2 linked regions of the Oryctolagus cuniculus genome follow. The protein of the gene in region 2 purifies or fractionates together with the protein of the main gene of each other region. This does not show direct contact. Links are inferred from orthologs where the notes say so. Each region holds a gene or a part of one and is shown on either strand. Other genes may lie near its edges.

Region 1 (4,217 bases), on a different chromosome or scaffold from region 2:
TGGCTGCTCCATTTCCGATCCAGCTCTCTGCTATGGCCTAGGAAAGCAGCAGAAGGTGGCCCAGTGCCTGGCCCCTGCCAGGAGATCCAAAAAACACAGAAGAAGCTCCTGGCTTTGGCCTGGCCCAACACTGCCCATTATAGACATTTGGGGAGTGAACAAGTGGATTGAAGATTTTTTTCTGTCTCCTCCTCTCTCTCTGTAACTCTGCCCCTCAAATAAATAAAAATAAACCTTTTAAAAATAAATAAATATTATTAAGTCCAATTACAAACTCAGCTCCTTTAGCATACTGCTCACATTTTAGGAGCTCATATAGGGCTAATGATTCCTACAGTGGACAGTGTAGCTCTAGAAAATGCTAACTAACCTAGTACTAGAAAGCAAGCCAGTGCTTGCCAAGGCTGGGGTCAGGGAAGGTTTTGACTACAGAGAGATTTAAATGTAATGGAAAATGCTTTGATTATGAAGGTAGCTATAAGGGTATATACATTTAAGGGACACATTCTTTGTGTGGCCCAAATACATTGCAATGGCACCAGGTGCTACTGGCCCAAAATTCATCAATGATTGCTTCTAATATACTGTGCACTGTACCAGACACTGGTGTTCGTAACAAAGGAACTGCAGTGGCGGGGGGGGGGGGGGGGGGGGAGGACACCAGGCAGTAAGTTAAATTTGGCCCCATGACTGTAATGTGTTGACTCCTGGGTACAACAAACTTCCTAGAGGATACCTATTGTCTGGGTTTTGGAATCTTGATTAAGGAATGGCTGAAAAGACAGGATATTGAGGAGTAAGGTATCAGGGGCTCCAAATCTTTATCAAAATAATTTCAAAATTCTGTACATTTCTTTTTCCTTTTAACATTCAATAAGCAAGAAAGTATATAATGATAAAAGCCATTAAAATGAAGTAATGTTTTAAATAAACATGAATTTTATTAATCACAACAGTCTCTATATATGTATATTTATAGTAGTACAAATAGGTGCAATTGTATTGATTAAATCAACAAAGTTCGGAGAGCACAGATTCACTGGCCCCTGCAAAGTTCCCAGGGTTGGGAATATTGTCCAGATTGTCATCAGTTCCTAGGACATAGGCAAGTGAGACTTCACACATCTTCCAGATTGAACATCTTTAGTAAACAAAACATTCTATCATCAATGGTTATAATGAGTTTAAGTCTTCCTGTAACCACAGTGAAGGACTCAGGGTACCTGTTGTATCTCATGGATAAAGAATGGGGTTTAGAGGCTCTCTTAACAAAAACCTTCTTTGATTCACACATAAGGAAGGGAGGTAGTGAGAACTGTGGTGGGGGGAGGAGAGTGACTTTGAATATTTGGTTAATTATGTAGTTGGTTTTTTCTTTTATATCTTTAATCAAAGATGGAACTGAAAAACAGGAAAGAAAGTGGAAAAGGAGCTTCCAAAATAAAACTCAGAGACTTCACTGGTGCTAAATTGATATGATCTGAGAAATAAGTTAGAAAACAGTATTTTAAAAAGGAATTACATTCCTCATCTGTCGACATAAAAATCCCACAACACACAAGATCCCAAATTCAGCCTTGTTTGTACGTGACTACAAAGATCTGGTCTTACAAAAGAACTCAGTGAATGCTGACACATCTAATAGAGACCTGGGGTCTCATCACTGAGGAATCCAAGTCTCAAAGAACTTTCCAAGGGAAGAGGAATTCAATCAGCGCAGGGTTAATGCTCACCAGAAGCGGGTGAAAGTGCAGACTGTTATCTGGAGATGTATGTGTATGTTCTGGAGGGAGAACGGGTCTCATTCTGGGCACTGGGAGGCACATTTAAGAAATCCCAAATCAAAATAGTGTCATCATGGGAGCTGCTGATGATCTGAAATTCATCAAACTGTAGCCGAAACACACGTCCAGAATGTTCCTAGGAAATATAACAGCTTCATGAACAAAACGACACCTTTACAACCTCTCATCTCTCCCAGCGAGAGATTCAGCCCAAGTTGGAAACACAACTACTTATCCAGACTTCCCAAATAATTTTCCAGAACTCACTGAGCTTTGTCCTTCAACCCAAGAACAAATACTTTGCTTTTCCTTCTACTTTTTCTCTTTCATTAAACTTTGTATCATGGATCCTGGACCATTTATATGTCAAAGAAGAAAAATGATGTGATCACCTCATAAAGGTCTTAGAAAGATAAACAATATTTAACATTAATTTGTGGTATACTGTAAAAACCAGAACCAGAACCAGAGGACAGGTGGCTGTTTCTTTAACATGGCTAAGAATATCTACCTCTAACCACAATAGCACAATTCATGGTGAAACATCAGATTTATTCCAGTTAAAATCAAGAGGAAAACAAGAATGGCCCTAACTATAACACTGCATGTTCTAGATGCAATGCAAGAGGCTAGAACTAGAAAAAAAATGGTAACATCACTAAGAAAAATAAGAAAAACCTACCAGTATTTTCAAATGCTATCTCCTCAAAAATACAAGAGAACCAACCAGATTATTAAAACGACATTGGTAAAGTTGCAAAAACAAGATTAACACATGAAGATGCCATAAACTACATATGTGCATAAAGCACAGATTGATGGAACATGCTACCATTATAATACAAATATGTGCTGTTATAGAGACACTAACAGCCACATTAAGAGCTCTCCCAAACCTCCAGGAAAGATAATATACTGCGTGTTCTAGGAGGAATCCAGTCTCCCTATAAGAAAGCCTGCCCTGTTACTCCTTCAGAAAGAGCCCACAGTGATGTAAATGTCAAACCCTCTCTGATTTTGGCTAAACTTTAAAGCCAGTGGTGAGATCCACAGGCCTCCTTGTGGGTCACAGGAAGGGCTATGTGCACACGGCCATCTTTCAGCAAAGGGAATCAGCTTCTCTTTCAACAGATCACATACCACCAATGTGCGCAAACACAGGGTGCTTGCTGGGGCCCGAGGGTCAAGAGCAGCTTGCAAGTCCCAAACTTTAATTTTCCTACAAAGGAAAATGACAGAGATTAGTACAAAAACTAACATTTTATATATTGCTAAGCATTTCCTTGACAAAAAGAAGCACATTTGAACTGCCTATTATCAAGCTAATGGGCAACATGCTTACGTTTTACAAGTTACTTGAAACAATTCCAGTATTGCAGAAAACATTGAGGATCTAAACATTCTTAGCATTGCTGAAATCTGGAAGAACTACTATTTTAAGTGAGACAAGAAAACTTCAGTTTATCTCAGTTCAGTTCCTGACTGGATAATCCACACTGCCAAATTCATTAACCAGGGGGCCCCTGGAGTAGATAAGGTGCTGCTGACAGAAGCTACAGTTCTGTGTGAAATTCCCACGTACCCTTCTCCAAACTGAGCAAATGCTGCTAGTTAGCAACAGGAGTATAACCAGACCAACTAACCCATTTCCAAGATTTGTATAAGCTTGTCTTAAAAGGGCTGCAGTTGCCATTTGCTCATTCAAAAAGTCATGAGTTGGGGGTTGGCATTGTGGTAAAGCCATCACCTGTGACGCCAGCATCCCATATGGCTGCCAGTTTGATTCCCAGCTGCTCCACTTCCAATCTAGCTCCCTGTGAATGCATCTGGGAAAGCAGCACAAGATGCCCAAAGGCTTCATGTGGCTACATCTTCTGCCACTCATGTCAGAGATGTAGAAGAAACTCTGGGATCTTGGCTTTGGCTTGGCCCAGTCCAGGCCATTGTGGCCATTTGGGGAGTGAACCAGTGGATGGAAGATCTCTTTCTGCCTTTCCCTCTCTCTCTCTGTATAACTCTGCCTTTCAAATAAATAAATAAACCTTAAAAGTCCTGAGGTGTTTTAAAGAGGATTTGTTCTAGGATCGGTGTTGTTGCATAGCAGGTAACAGTGGCAGCATTCCATATGTATGCCAGTTCAAAACCCAGCTATTCCACTTCCAATCCAGCTCCCTGTTAATGTGCCTGGGAAAGCAGCAGTAGATGACCCAAGTGCTTGGGCCCCACACCCACGGGGAAGACTAGGATAGAGTTCAGGGCTCCTGGCAGCCATCTGGGTAGTGAATCAGCAGATGGAAGATCTCTTTGTTTCTCTGTAACTTGGCCTTTCAAATTAAATAAATAAATCTCAAAATTAAAAAAAAAAAAAAGTGAGTTGTTTCAAAGGAGGGGAAGAAGAAAGTTATTACTGAACTCATCAAAAAAGTCTAGTTC
Region 2 (5,000 bases):
CACAATATTATTCTTTTGATTTTTTTTCTTCAACAATTTGAAAATGTAAGGATCACACTTAATGGTCCACACCAAAACAGGATGCATGTTAGATGTGTACCATGGGCTGTGGTCTGTCAACCACCTAACTATACTAAGCTTCCTTCTTTAGTAGTCATTTAAGGTACATTTGTCATTAAGCTTCAGGGACCACAGTATTATTCAGTCAACAACTATACATATCCATACATACACACCCCTAAACAAGATTTAAATGTAGTAAGCTGTCAGAGGTTATTGACGTAAGAACCTCCCCCTGCAAAAAACACCCCTCAATACTGTTGATGAAAAGCAATTAAATCAGATGCAATAAATTTTTAAATTTAAATTTTTAATTCTGCAATTTATTTCACACACTGTATGTACCCAGGAAGTTAAAAACTATTCTTATAGCGCCTCTACATTACATGGAAGCATCTGTAAAACACAGTAGAACTGAGGAACAGGATCAAGGGATGGGAGTTCTAGTCTTAGCCCTGCCCTTTTCTCCTCATGTGTTCCCTAACAAGTCACTTTCAATCCTCTAGCAAAAGCCCCTCAAATGTAGAGTTAAGAGGCTTAATTACTAGCGGATCACTATGCTCTCTATTAGCTTTAGCGCTGGAAGATTCCACTACTACGTAAAAGCACCAGTCAGGGAACATCAAAGATCAACCAAAAGTGATAATTAAGAATACATACACACAGAAAAGAAAGGCTCTGACTAAACAAGGGTAGGCATACACTCCAAGCAGGTAGGAAAATGGGCAGAAACATGCAGTATTATCAAAATCCAGGAACGGCTTGCTTATTTATTTTTTTTTGGGGGGGGGAGAAAGAGAGAGAGGAGAGAGCGTGAGCTCCTATCAGCTGGTTCACCCCACAATGCCTGGGACGAATGGGATTTGGCCATGCCAAAACTGGGTTTCCCCTGTGAGAGTAAGGAACCCAATTACTTAATCCCATTACTGCTGCCTCCCAGGGTCTGGAGAAGTTGGACTTAAGAAGAAACTAGAGTCAGGAGCTAGAGATGCCTATGGAAACCAAGTACTTCAACATGGGATGTGAGCATCTTAACCACCAGGCTAAATGTACACCTCTAGGATTTTTTTTAAGTATCATATTCTACAAAAATAATTGAAGAAAGAGAAGGAAAAAAAAAAAACAATGAATTTGGTCATTTAAGAGATCACTGGTGACCTTCAGGAACATATTTTCAGGATTCCAGAAGCAAATATGGAAGTGGAGGCAATCAGCTGGACAAAGAATGAGTAGGGCCATTAAAAGAAAGAAAAACCAGTCAGCTAAAAAAGGCAATGGCCTCAAGATTTGACAGTACTGTGTACGCGTCTAGAAATTATGAAAGAAACGGAGACTAAGGAATAGAAAATAAAGGCATATGGTCTACCAAAAGTAGAAAGGAAAACAAAAAGTTGTGATGAGCTTGAAGCATCAAAGAAGGGAAATGAAAGAGAAACATTCAATCTTTAAACTTCCAAGAGATAATGGCAGCATTGAAATATCAGTTTTGCACAACAGATATATTCCTGGACGCTATTTATCTATATCACATTTTCTATGAATTACTAGGGGAATAAATTATAAATTATAAATAAAATAAATTATTAGGAAAACAAATCTAATGGTGTGTTTTCTTATAGTGAAGTCCCACCTATACTGTAGTTTCTAATGGAAAAAAAATAAGTATTAAACTCTGTTTTTAAAGAATGAAAAACACCAATATACAGCTCCAAGAGGAAAATGTTTATACTTTTCTTATACAACTATCACTTCCTTGCATAAGAATTACTTATGCAGTATAATGTACCAAGCTCCTAATCAGAGTGCAAAGAATTCCAGTGTTCCCTCTCTGAGCTCAGCAAACTACCAAGGCAAGAATTCTGATCAATTCATCTGTTTAGCTGCTTTGCAGAGTTGGTGATGCTGGGAGAAAAAAATACTGACATCCTTGCAAAACAGCTATCACTGTCCACCTGGTCAGGCTGGGAACATATTTGTTTCATTCGAGTAGGTAACTCCAATGATACCACTTTTACAGAGTGTCAGAGCTTGCTGAAGTATCAACAAGTTGTTAGAAAACAACTTTTACAAGGCAAAAACATTTAAGAATTGTAACGATCACTCATAAATATATCAAGACCCTCCAGAGCTAATTTCAACCCAACACTTGCCTATTTAAGGTATATGAGAAATAAAAATCCAAAGCATTAGCCTGATGATCAGCCTGTTAAAAATACACATTTGAATGCGCTTAAGATATTTATAAAGCCAAGAGAGATACTATTAATATATTGAAACTCACTGGCCAGTGCTGGATGGAGTCTACTCTTAATCTCCTACTACTATTCAAGACAAGCCAAGAAGTCAAGGCTTCTCATGTCGCTTGCTTTTAAGAATTTAAGAAGCCACCCCAATCGGCACACACAACCCAGCCACCAACACACAGTGCAGCTCCCCATATGGCAGCGCTCGGCTGTCCCCTACCAGCAAAGGAAAGTGCCACTGACTACTTTGCCCCGACCTTTGGTAGGCCCCGGTTAGGCAGGCCCATAGTACTACGAAGTAACAGGAGTTGAGAAAAGTCGTAACAGTTAACTCTGCCCTCCCACAGATCTCAACTAGGGTGTAGCTTTCACCAGCCTTGAAAGCCATCCCCGGCCACTGTCAAAACCAGAAGCAGCACCGTCACCCTGTAGTGCCACCCGCAACTGTTCCAGGGTTTCTTTGACATGATCCCTCTCCGTCTCGGCTCCACGCATTAGATAAGGGCTAAAGCCCCGCTGGCCCCCCAAACCAGGACCTGGCCCCTGCCCGTTCGCTCCTTTATTTGTTCAGCCCAGCAAACCCGAGGCGGGGTGGTGGTGGGGGGAGGTCTCCGCTGCCGGCCCCTGCATCCCGCGGGTCTCCCAACTGCTCGCCGCCCCCACCCCACGCCCCCGACCGCCGCCGCCGCACACCGCCTCCTTCCCCACAGCCCGGCCCGCATCCAGCCGGCCCCGCGCCCGGGCCTGCGCTGCTTCGAGCGGCCGCAGGCCTCGGGCCTAGCCTCCTCCGCTGGCCCCTCACCTCTTTCGGGACCAACTGGTTCTCCTCGCCGGGCACCATCGCTCAGACTCCGGGCCGCTCCTCTCCGCCCTGCCGGGGGAGGGGGGAGGATGGCGGCGGCTCTGTCTCAGGAGAGAACGGCAGCGGCGGTCATCGTCTCCGCCGCCTGCGCTCCGGCGATCGCGGAGGCCTCAGCCTGGGCCTCAGACACCAGCGCGCAGACACCTACCCAGGGCTCCGCCGCCGCCGCCGCCGCCGCCTTCGTCGTCGGCCCCTCCCCCAGCCCGCTGCAATCAATGGAAAAATGGCGGCGACCGCTCTCGCGAGAATTCGGCCCGTGGGGCTGCGAGCGCCGAGCCCGGCGCTTAGGGCGTCCGGGTGGTTGTCGCTCGCACACTTTTAATCACCTGGGTGTCTACTCTGCCCCGGGATGTACAGAATGGTCGAGGAGCCCTGCAAACGCCTTTCGTTAGAGAAAAGAAGGACCTTGCATCTCAAGGCTCCCTCTGTCGGCAGGGAAAAGGCCAGGCCCCAGCGTCTCCATGCCCCGCTCTCCCGAGTGCCTGCGCATCAGGAAGCGGCGCCAGCAGAAAGGCCCTTGGCTGGCCCCGCCGTCCATACGCTTCTTTCCAGTCAGTCCAGCTTCCGAACGTCCTGTCCTCTTCAAACACCCCAGCCTCTTGCTGGAGGAGAGAGCACCGTGGGATCCCGCCCGGCCTCCGCCCTCGGGCAGGGCTGTGGCCCGTCCAGTCAGAAGGGCCAGCGTAGTATTTACCCTCCTCCCCACCTTCCTCACGATCCCGCCGGGAGGGACCTCGGGGCCCATCTTCCACTGGGAGAGGCAACACTCCTCGCCCCAGTGAAGTGGCGGCATCCCCGGCCGCGTCCCCCAGCTCCATCCCCGCCCCCTTCCAGGGAGCGTCCTTCTCCAACGGGGCCAGGTTCCTGCGATGGACGGACGTTCTGCTTTGAAAATGAGCGAACTTTAATCTCCTGTAGCTACAGAGAGCGTTGTGCTACGTGTTAGGTTAAGCAGATTTCGCAACAGTCGTTTTTCCAAACGTTAGTGCTTCCATTACGAAGGCAATGATGGATGCAGGATTGTCAGAGCGCGCTGGGCGAACGCAATCCTGCCGGATTCCCAACACCCACAGCGTCAGCCACCTGCACCTGGGATCTCCAGACTTCTTTTAGACCTTCGCCTCTGTTACAAAGGCAGAAAAAGGTATCCACCTGTTGACCTCAGCTGTGCACTCCTGCTGTGTGCAGCACTTTGTAAAATGTAAACGGGTAAGGTAAAGATGAAACAAACATTTAAAAAACTGAGTTTATTATATTAAGGGCATAAACATTTCTGTTGCTCCCGCTAAAGAATATTTAGCCAAGTATGATTGGTTTGGATTAGTTTTTTAAAATTTTTAATACTTTGTAAAGCAGTTATTAAAATACTCGATTCCACACACGGTTCAGGTTATTTCTGGACTTGGTGTTCACAGGCTGCCATTAGCTGAGAAAAGTAACTGTCGAAGATGTAGATACTGATGGAAGAAGTACATCTTTAGCTGCTCTTAGCAACCCAACACCCATTTTTAAAAATCAGTTCCAGCCACAAACCCTGCAAAGGTTTTTGTTGAAATTCCAGTAAGTTTCCATCTTCCCTGATAACAATCAGAAGATGTGGCATTTTTATTCCTTTAGCAAGTGGGTTCAAAATGCTGTAGAGTAAATTTCTTGGAAGATTTTTTTAATAGGTTGAATAATTCTGACTTCAAGTTTGAGTGTACATGTACCATGTTGAAGTTTCTTTGGGAGCACTAGTCTTTATTTAAAATTGTGATATTACTTAAGGATTTTTAAAAGTAACTTTGACTTTTCAAAATATTATCTTTTTAAAAGGTTTATCAGGGGCTGATGCT

Evidence for each region. The genes of interacting proteins can lie anywhere in the genome.
Region 1: the proteins of USP47 (region 2) and FBXW11 purify together in Homo sapiens (affinity purification with mass spectrometry; 10 studies listed by BioGRID and IntAct, counting the BioPlex papers as one, with this or other methods). This does not show direct contact. The link is inferred for Oryctolagus cuniculus from reciprocal best matches to the Homo sapiens genes USP47 and FBXW11.

The regions. Positions count from the first base shown.
Region 1 is NC_091437.1:58,565,613-58,569,829, forward strand, and holds part of FBXW11 (F-box/WD repeat-containing protein 11), read right to left. Parts: intron 3,004-4,217; coding exon 2,925-3,003; intron 1,921-2,924; coding exon 1,759-1,920; 3' UTR 1,734-1,758; intron 1-1,733.
Region 2 is NC_091432.1:54,376,658-54,381,657, forward strand, and holds the start of USP47 (ubiquitin carboxyl-terminal hydrolase 47), read right to left. Parts: upstream 3,354-5,000; 5' UTR 3,145-3,353; coding exon of another isoform or gene 3,106-3,144; intron 1-3,105. UniProt on the Homo sapiens protein: Ubiquitin-specific protease that specifically deubiquitinates monoubiquitinated DNA polymerase beta (POLB), stabilizing POLB thereby playing a role in base-excision repair (BER). Acts as a regulator of cell growth and genome integrity.